Linked DNA regions of Arabidopsis thaliana. The protein of the gene in region 2 interacts with the protein of the main gene of each other region in a pairwise test. Each region holds a gene or a part of one and is shown on either strand. Other genes may lie near its edges.

What was found. Proteins that work in one complex are often made in the same cells at the same time.
Region 1: the proteins of AT4G16980 (region 2) and COR413-PM1 interact in a protein complementation assay, tested with the Arabidopsis thaliana proteins (one large-scale study listed by BioGRID).

Annotation. Positions count from the first base shown.
Region 1 is NC_003071.7:6,946,991-6,952,187, reverse strand, and holds COR413-PM1 (cold regulated 413 plasma membrane 1), read right to left. Parts: upstream 2,338-5,197; 5' UTR 2,026-2,337; coding exon 1,856-2,025; intron 1,771-1,855; coding exon 1,663-1,770; intron 1,580-1,662; coding exon 1,509-1,579; intron 1,421-1,508; coding exon 1,176-1,420; 3' UTR 1,163-1,175; coding exon of another isoform or gene 1,128-1,162; 3' UTR 996-1,127; downstream 1-995. Other genes in the region: AT2G15980 (Tetratricopeptide repeat (TPR)-like superfamily protein), read left to right, coding at 1-839; AT2G15960 (stress-induced protein), read right to left, coding at 4,602-4,835.
Region 2 is NC_003075.7:9,554,058-9,559,436, forward strand, and holds AT4G16980 (arabinogalactan-protein family), read left to right. Parts: upstream 1-2,725; 5' UTR 2,726-3,029; coding exon 3,030-3,524; 3' UTR 3,525-3,882; downstream 3,883-5,379. Other genes in the region: AT4G16970 (Protein kinase superfamily protein), read right to left, coding at 11-73, 167-233, 360-1,055, 1,144-1,211, 1,313-1,709; AT4G16983 (uncharacterized protein), read right to left, coding at 3,104-3,219, 3,262-3,412.

The sequences.
Region 1 (5,197 bases), on a different chromosome or scaffold from region 2:
ATAGAGAAGTTTTTGGTTTAGATGATGTTAGTGTTGATGAAGCTAAAAAGATGATAGGTAAGATTAAGCCAAATGCGACCACTTTTAATTCGATGATGGTGAGTTTTTATAGAGAAGGTGAGACTGAGATGGTGGAGAGGATATGGAGAGAAATGGAGGAGGAAGTTGGATGTTCTCCGAATGTTTATAGCTATAATGTTTTGATGGAGGCGTATTGTGCGCGAGGTTTGATGAGTGAAGCGGAGAAGGTATGGGAAGAGATGAAGGTGAGAGGAGTGGTTTATGATATTGTGGCTTATAACACTATGATTGGTGGGCTTTGTAGTAACTTTGAAGTTGTGAAAGCGAAGGAGCTTTTTCGAGATATGGGGTTGAAGGGGATTGAGTGTACTTGTTTGACGTATGAGCATCTTGTTAACGGGTATTGTAAAGCGGGGGATGTTGATTCGGGTTTGGTTGTTTATAGGGAGATGAAAAGGAAAGGTTTTGAGGCAGATGGTTTAACAATTGAAGCGTTAGTTGAAGGGCTATGTGATGATAGGGATGGACAGAGAGTTGTTGAAGCTGCGGATATCGTGAAGGATGCGGTGAGAGAAGCAATGTTTTATCCTAGTCGGAATTGTTATGAGTTGTTGGTAAAGAGGTTGTGTGAAGATGGGAAGATGGATAGAGCATTGAACATTCAGGCTGAGATGGTTGGGAAAGGATTTAAGCCGAGTCAAGAGACGTATAGAGCTTTTATCGACGGGTATGGAATAGTAGGTGATGAGGAAACATCAGCATTGTTGGCCATAGAAATGGCTGAATCACTCAAGCTAAGAGCAGAAGAAGAAAGCTAGAAAAGTTGAGCTTCGTTGGTAAGCTGGTGAAGCAAAGATGACAAAACCACATAGAAACCAATTGGTGACACAATGTGGACAAGTTTTGTGGTGGTACGAGAAAGCGGTAAGAAGTGGTACACATTGTAAGATGATACAACGTTACCCATTAAAGCTATAATGATGAAAGAGGAGATTTATTCCACACTAACACCTCATGATGATATCTTATTGCTGAAGCAATTCTTATTCAAATCACATTCATTGATAGAGTTACGAGGAGAGACAGATCGTACAAAGCAATCACTCTTACATGAAAAAAAAAAGACAAATGGAAAAAGAAACTGAAGAGTTAACTTAAAAGATAAGAGCCCAGACGGGGAAGACGACGAGACAGATGATCCCGACGGTGTTGGAGATACCATTGGCTTTAGTAAATGCATTTCTGAATCCACCTGAAGCTCTAATGTGTTCTTGAAGCAAGTAACATCCAATACCTAAACATATAGCTAAACCAATCCAACTGTCTCTGAATGTGCCAGCAATCAAATTTGGTGCCACCACGGCGAGAAGAACCAAAGCCACCGGTAATTCCAGGTATTCTAATAACACAAACAACAGAGATAAGCCAAATCAGAATCAAAGTCTTGTTGCTTGTAATGGAGAGTGAATGAAAAAAAGTAGACAAACCTCTGGCGTGTTTAGGAAAGAAGAGTTGTACAACAACAGCTACGAAAGCAATCCATTTACCAATTTCTCCTCTGTCAAAGTTTCAGACACAAGTTAGGGTTTAGGAACATAATGATAAGTAAAGAAAAAGTCTCTGGCTTTTGTTGTGTTATACCTGAAAATACCAAAGATCAAGGAAGGAAGACTGAAGAAGATGTAAGGAATGAGAAGTGATGTGAGCATATTCGTCTTCCAATTGGTTCGATCCAACACCAACAAGTATCTGCATTTATTACATCAAAACCTCATCAAGATCAACACAAGAAACGGATAGAGGAAAGAGACATAGAAACAGAGAGAATGGTTACATGGCGGCGATTGAAGCAACCCATTCGAGGACAGAGGTACCAAAGCCTAAACCAGTGAGTGTGAAGGCGTGTGTAGCTAGGTTCTTAGCAGCGATAGTGAGCTCGTTGAAATCGGATCCGATCATGGCCTTAAGGGTTCCATGGTCATTCCTCAACGACTTCATAGGCATCTTTTCTTGCCGGAGAAGAGAGAACTATGAATAATTGATGTGAGAAGAGAAGAGAGTAAAGAGTAGATAGATGGTGATGAATGTGTTGGAAGACTTTGGTTATAAAGATATTACAAGTGACTCGATGGATACGTTTACGCCACGTGGCAGTTATGAAAATAGTTTAATTTGGACGAACTAGATATTTTATCTATATTAACAATGATATAGTATAGTTTACTTAATAAGCTAATCCGATTTCTGACATAGACCTTAGACACATGTCGACACCAACTTCTCACACATGAACGTTCTAATAAGTTTGCTTTAACAAATGTAATTGGTGGACGTAAGAAACAATGGGACGAGCCAGCTGTCCAGTTGTATTTTTTTTTAATGATAATATTTATTACAATGCAAATAATTAGATATGTTATGGTGGAATCTCTTAACATGGATATATTAAGAATGGGAAAAATCAACATCTAAATCATAGGGTATGTCGGTATACATTAAAGTCAGAGATCGTCAAATCCAACTAAATAATAACAATATGCTTCAAGCAGATTTATTATATTTAGCCAATAAGTTGTATGGATTCGTTGAAGTTTTCATTCTATAATTAGACCATATGGTTTTACAGTTTTCTACTGTAAATGAATTCACAAAAATCTAAATTAAAAAAAAATAGAAAAATACTTAATTATAAAGAGATACTAGTTCGATAATCATATATGTAACTAAGTATAAATAAAACCAAATAGAAAATGTGCAAGTAAATTGTTGAGCTAAAAAATCAGATGAGATGGATCAAAATCCAATCAGTTAATGGTTACAAAAAAAAAAAAAAACAGAGTGGCAGAAGTTATGGTTTTTAATATGATTATGTGATGTCGGCAGAAGATTTGTCTTGAGTAGGACCAGCCAAATAAAAATAAATTTTGTTTTACCATATTAAAGTTGTTGTTGACGGAAAGAAAAAAATGTAACATGCTCCAGAATCGTAACAAGTAAGAGAGTATCGAACTCTCATTACGGTAACGAAATACAGATTCATCCCTAGCATAACTACATAAGCGACATAAGCTATGAATCAGAGTCCAAAATAAAATTAGAATTTTTCGTTTTTCAGTTCTGATTTTTTTTAAAGATTTAAGCCTAAAACCTAAAATGTTTAATAACTCATGAGAGTTGAACCCAATTTTTTCTTTTTTCTTTTTCGTTTTGATGATTTTAGTTTTTAATCAGTATTTGTGATCTTTCCATATTATATTTATGTCGTTTATGATAATTAAAAATAAAACTAAAATTTTACTTGGAGTAAAACCCTCAATATTGTTGGATCGGTCCTGAATATGACCTCACTAGTTGTTACTCGGTTAAAGAGTATCACGTTAAATAAGCTGCTGAGTGCTGACACTACGCTCCACAATATCCATATTAAATAATAGAAACTTAGTTTAACCAGAACGGGAAAAATGTCATTTAAATCACGACTTCGCAATTTGTGGTGCTTTAAACATAAACTTTGTACTTTGTGATTAAAATCATCAATTACGTGTTGACTTCAGATAAAATCACTAACTTTCGTTGACAGAGCCAAATTAGTCACAACATCAACTGAATAAACAGAGCAATTAGAAGATGTGATTTATCCGTTAATGAGACCGTTTAAGAGCAAAACGACGTCGTTTGCAATTGAAACAAAAACAGGAAAAATGCCATATAAATCATGACTTCGCCATTTGCAGTGCTTTAAAGCATGAACTTTGTGCCTTGCAATTCACTTTGATTTCAAAATACAGGAGTGAATTCGAAGAAGAAAAGAAGAAGAGATTTGAGGATCTAGGGTTTCTTATTTCTGAATTGGGGATTTTTGTTTCAATTGCAAACGACGTCGTTTTACTCTTAATCGTACTTATTAACGGATAAATCACAGCGTTAATGAAAATCTAGAATGGCCTGTAAAAATTCTCCCATATATCTAATTTTGAAATAATTTTGCTGGAATAGAGTTTAGTTGATAAGATACACTTCAAGTGTTTTGTGTTGAAGGAAAGAACTATATGATCGTCATGTGGATCAAAAGCCCAAAGCCCAAAGCCCAAACCTTTTGTAACCGTTGTTTCCGTCTGGGCCAAAAGCCGAAAGCTCATTTGGTATCAATAAAAAAAAAAAAAAATCGTTATCTGTATTGAATATTGATGATATCTTCCAGCAATCTCATTCATGATTGGCCACTTCAAAATCTTTCAATCAAATTTTAGTTTTGGGTTCCCTCAGAATTCCTACGTTATTAGAAAAATTATAATCATTTCTTGTTTTATTTCTTACTGAATGATGCGAATGTTCCTAATTACAGAGTGAATAGAAAGTTCCATCTTCATATAAATCCCGGTTAATAATAATTGAACACTATTGATTAAAGTAATAAAAATATGTTTCTCAAACACATTACTTTCACAGGTTTACAAGGAAACTTAAAAACATGGTCTGCACAAACAAAATCTGATATATAGACATACTACATGTAGTTTCTAGATATATATATACACATCACCAAAGAAGAGATCTAGAAGTAGTTGGGTATGGAAAGATCACCAAGGAACAAAACGGTCCATGAGAAGACAAACAGTGAGCTCAGACATAGTTACAGCTTCATTTTTCTCTCTAATCTTTTGGTTAATAAGTCCTCTTTCTTCTTCTGATCCTTGTTGTTGTTTGGACACAACAGATGTTGAATTCTTCCTTTGCATCAATGGATTTCTAGTGTTTATCTTCTCACTCATCTTCTTCATCTCTCCCACCCAAAGCTCCATAGCTTTTGCCATTCTTTCCTTTTGTTGATCTTAATATCTCATTATGAACGAGAGAGAGAGAGAGAGAGATGCATGTGAGCTTTATGTAGACAAAGAATAGGGCCTTTTGGTCTTTTGGACTTGCAAAACCATGACAAGTTTGATTGGTGTTTTCAAATAATTGTGTTATTGACACGAAAGTGGACAATCTGTTTTACACTTTGGCACCGTCCACGGTCCAACTATAGAAGAGTTGTCTTTTTGGTATATATATATGTACATAGTTTCTAAATTCTAATGGCTGGAAAAATCATCAAAATCCAAAAAATATCTCTTTGGCCTTCTTGAATTTTCCATATGCACATACAGTTTCAAATCATTGAAACCAAAAAATA
Region 2 (5,379 bases):
TTTCCCGTACATTTAATTGCAAACTCTGTTCCATCAGTTTTCCTCGTTGCCTTATAAACAATCCCGTAGCCACCTACATTTGGATTTCACCAGTGATTAGTCAATAACTAGTTAAGTTGTTACAATAGAATGAGGAATATAGATGAAATAGACTGGAAAGAAATACCTGAACCTTCTTCCTCTACAATAGTGTAAGAATCAAAATCTGGAATTGTGTTATGCTTTGCCTGATCCTAAACCACAAATATGAGAAGAGAACTTTTAATATAGTGTGCATTAATGCTAAAATTCGGTGCAAGAGTGTTAACGTAGTTAACATTATATAAAGGCCTCACTCTAGACGAAAGAGACATGTCTACCTTCTGATCTTTAAGACGAACGGTGTTAAAATTCTGCTTCCTCTTCTGGATAACTTTACTTTTTCTGGTGTGTTTTATCTCAGGGGAACAGCTGTACGTTTTGCTGTTTCCCGGCAATTTGCATTGATCCAGAGTTTTTTGTACCAAAGATTTATCTTGATTAGCTTCTGTAGCAGAAGGCTTCAACGGCAGCTCTCTGTCAGGGGTGCTAACGATGTCTACAGTGTGATCATCTACAAGTAGATCTTCAGTGTCATCCACAATCTGCACTGGTTCTAACTCATTTTCTGTTGGCATCAATGAGGCAACGGGATCGGACTGCACAGAATCAGTTTGTATCTCTCCCTTAGGGAAGAGATCCTTCTTATTTTTATCATCACCTTCTTCGATTAATATTTGGTTGTCAGCAATTTGGAAATCTCCAATTTCAGGTCGCTCGTAATATCCATCCTCCTGAGGAGATGGCAAATCGTTCTTGCTTTCCTCTAACCGATGTGTAGGATTGACATCCACTGAAGCATTGGATGTCTGCGGACCAGGCTGATGATCTTGAACAAAAGCCTCTATTCCTCGGTTAGATGCACTTAAATTGAAAACCGAAGCTTGGGATTCAAGAGCTAAAATAGTCCCAAGCATAGTTCCACAGGCAACAGTTCTGATGTCGTTAGGTCTGCTATCTATTACAGAGTAATTCACCTAGAGAAAATAATCAATAACACAATGAATCAACCACCCACTAAACCATACCGTGAGAACTTCATATATATCTTAAGAGATTACTTACATCGTTTCCATCATTTCGACTTCTTTTGGGCAATGGCATGAGCTCTAGCTCCTCTTGTTCCGCATTCTCTGATACATTACCATAAATAACCCAAAATTGAGAAGAGAATCTCTATGTAAGTGTGACCTACTAAACCGCAATATCAGATAAAATTGCAAAAACTTAGTACCTCTCGAATGCTTTAGCGTGAGAGATCTCGGATCCATAAACTGTTCTAACACAACATTTTCCTGCAAATCCAAACTACAGGCGAAACTAGCCGGAGCGGAGGGAGACTCAGGCGAGAGAGTCACAGTGAAGCCATCTTCGGCAAGGGAAATAGGAGAATTAGGGATCGAGCAAAGATATTTGACGAGATTAGGAGAACCTTGGAAGTATGTACACTTTGAAGAAAGATCTATAACAGATTCTGGATGACCAGAAGAAAGTAGGAGACGAGATAACTCAAAAGCATGCAGATGATAGTTAAGGTCGTCGTTGCCGTCTGAATTGGTGGGACTAAGAGGAATGAGCTCTCTTCCGGCTGTAGAATTCTCGAGTTGACGCGGTTCCGAGTTTTCTGACATTGCAAATGCTGTGAATCTGAGGGAGAGAGAGAGAAGCTAGGGATTTGAGAATTTGAGATTTGGGGGGCAAATGGAGAAGGAGCGGGAGAATGGCACGTGCGGTACGTGTGATGTTTTGTTTCGAGGATTTTGTACATAAAAATGTTCCCGCTCATTTCTTTGCCAGCTGGATTATTTACGGCCTCATGCGTCTACAGGCCCATTTTAAATGAGCCCATATAGCCTGGAAATGTTTCATTGATTGTAGTCTTGTAGATAATTTTTAGAACAATGCAATTATTCAAGATGCTAAAACTTGCTGCATTTCGAACTATATATTTGAATAACCTTCTCAAATACTATTATTGGTTACCTAATGTTTTTGATGCTCTAGAAGTTCAATTTATAACATGCAAAGAGAAAAACTGGAGTTCATGGTTACAGAAAACAACATTAGTCGTCAATTTCAAATGAAAGTAATCCCATAAAATATATATATACATGCATGCATGACTATGTATGGATGGTTATATCATATATGGAACATGTGCATTTGTGATGGTATAATGTAAAGATGGATAAATAGTAAATGATGGCCAAAGAGTGCTCGTGAGAGACAAAGGAAATGGTATGGGGTAACCAAAATGTCGGTTAGTTGGTGCGGACATAATATTGGCCGTGGAGCTAAATCAGGCTGTGTGACTAAATACAACACAAATGGTCCCTTTTGTTTTTCGTTTTTTGTTTTGTAACATAGCATTATGCTCTTTTATCTTGTCCTATGTAAATTTTGTCTTCTCCTGATAATATTATAGAATATCTTGATATGGTTATCATAAATTTTCTGTTAAATTTACAGAAAACAAAATGAACATTAATGTTCTAACATATGAATGGCTAACATCAGTAATGACCTGTTCTAATAAATTTGATATGGCCCCTTAAAAACCATCCCGTGAATCCGATTGATCGTTTCCACTATGTCTTTAAAAGAATAAATATAAAAGGCATTGTAATCATAATATCCTCCATTTCCATATATATTGACTATTCTATCTGTACCTACAATGAGATTTCAACTTTGGAGTTTTCATCTTTTTTTTCTTTCCAATTTGTGGAGGAAAATAAATCAGCATCTCATACCTATCCATCGACTGATACGTGTCACACATTGTATCCAACGATCCAAAATTATAAAACAAATAATCTCTAATATATATCCAAATAGCACAAAGAACCTTCACTTTTCTCTCCCACTCTTTCTTTTACTACTCTCACACATATCTCTGTCTATATATCACTTTACATAAACGACTATTCCACACACAAACACACATAGCCATGGCCTCTTCTTTCTCTTCACAAGCCTTCTTCTTGCTCACATTGTCTATGGTTTTAATTCCTTTCTCTTTAGCTCAAGCTCCCATGATGGCTCCTTCTGGCTCAATGTCCATGCCGCCTATGTCTAGCGGCGGTGGAAGCTCGGTTCCTCCTCCAGTGATGTCTCCGATGCCAATGATGACTCCACCACCTATGCCTATGACTCCACCACCCATGCCCATGACTCCACCACCTATGCCTATGGCTCCACCACCAATGCCCATGGCTTCACCACCAATGATGCCAATGACTCCATCTACAAGCCCAAGCCCATTAACAGTTCCGGATATGCCTTCGCCGCCGATGCCATCCGGAATGGAATCTTCACCTTCTCCAGGACCCATGCCACCGGCAATGGCGGCTTCGCCGGATTCAGGAGCTTTCAATGTTAGAAACAACGTCGTAACACTTTCATGCGTTGTTGGAGTTGTTGCAGCCCATTTTCTCCTCGTTTGAAATGATTATTGAATTGGTCAGCCTCGATCGTTTTCTTGTAATTTACCTTCATTTTTTTCCCTCAAATTATTAGTGGTCATCATTTTATAATATTTGAGTTTGTGTTTGATGTACGATTCAGACATTTGTTTGCATTATGTGCTTAATAAGTTTATCGTTGACTCTACTTGAAGAGAGACTTTGTATGTGATGTAAATTTCTTCTATCTATGGAACATTGCATTCGTAGTCATATATAGGACATAAATATGGTTACAACTTGGAAGGATAAATACCACAAGGCACAATATGATCAATACGACAATACCTCTCATTGTTAGTCGATAATATCGATGTATATAGTCACTAGACTCACCGATCCGTAATTCCTTTTAACAAAAAATACGTTATTCAGATATGTTATTTTCATATATATGTGTAAAAATGTTCTTCCTAATAATTAAAAGAGACAAACCAAAGAAAAGGCTATATTTGCAAGCTGTCATTGGAATTTTGCATACATTTTCTCTATATATTCTCATTGAAATTCATTTATTCTTTCATTTTATGGAGGTGTAGAAATACATAAAATCCAAAGAAAATGAGAAATTTTCAAATATGTTGAATTTGAGAATGGAAGAATATGACAAAGGTGGGTATAGTGAATAAATGGTAGGGAATATAGATATGCCCGACCCAAGAGGACAGCTAAAAAGAAAGTGACGTTCACATGTCTGTCTTTCTCTATTGCCCCAACCATTTTCCAATGTGTATTAGTAATAACAGAAATCATACATTTAAAAAGAACTATATAGAAATTTTATTCATATATATATAGCAGTACTAGTTAGTATATCTGCATTTTTTTGTTTTTCAAGTCATGTTGATGATTTATTACTTTAAACAGATGCCGAAGCTTTCTAAAGTAATTACGGTAAATATATGTTAGTCATTTGTAAAAACGACCGATGACAGAAAGATATGTTTTATTTCTTAGTATATCTAACAATGTTATAACCGAATGATGACAACCTATAAACCACAATAGAGCACTAATTTAATTACATGCTCTTTGTTGCTGGCTCCGTACACCGGCCACCACAATCAAAACCTTAATTGTCCACTTTTTAGCCACTTCGAATTCTCAGAAAGATAAATCTAAGGAAGTTCTAGGTCTTTCAAAGGCCACAAATCTCGATATGTTGGTGGTTTGTGAATATGCAAATCTTTGGTGATACGCTAACTTCTTCAATTCATAATTTCAATAAACGAACTGAGAATTTACTGATGGGTAGTTGTTCAAAGCTGGAGTTTCTTCCACCTGCTGACGTTTACTTGGAATCTCTCAAGGACCCAAATCTAAGGAAATGCTTACGGTTGAAAAGTGTCCGTCCGATTTCGAAAACCATTCCAGGTATTTTTTTTTAAGTCTTACAACATATTCTTTCCGGTGAGGAGGAGACCATGTTGTTTTTCTTCCCAAGAAAATTTAACCTCTATTGCTATGATCCTAAGTGTATAAAAGGCTTGCAATCAATGGAGGTTTTAATTATAGTCCATGGGTGAATAATGTCATCAATAGTGATAACTGGACAAGATTTTTAAAAAATGCCACAAACACAAAAGAAAAAAAAAATTGAAAGTAAATGTCATAAAATCATAATTATGCGTAGTGTGCAAGGTATACTTTGGTAAAATCTGTCACATTAGACATTTACTTATTTACAATTTTGCAAATTGGTTATTTACTTAAATAAATGAAACTTATACGCAAAATAAAATAAAATCCTGACTAAGCTCATATCTTTTAATTTGTTTTCTAACAGAAATATATCCCTCTGTTAGTACACCACATTGACGATGTCATTCATTATTAG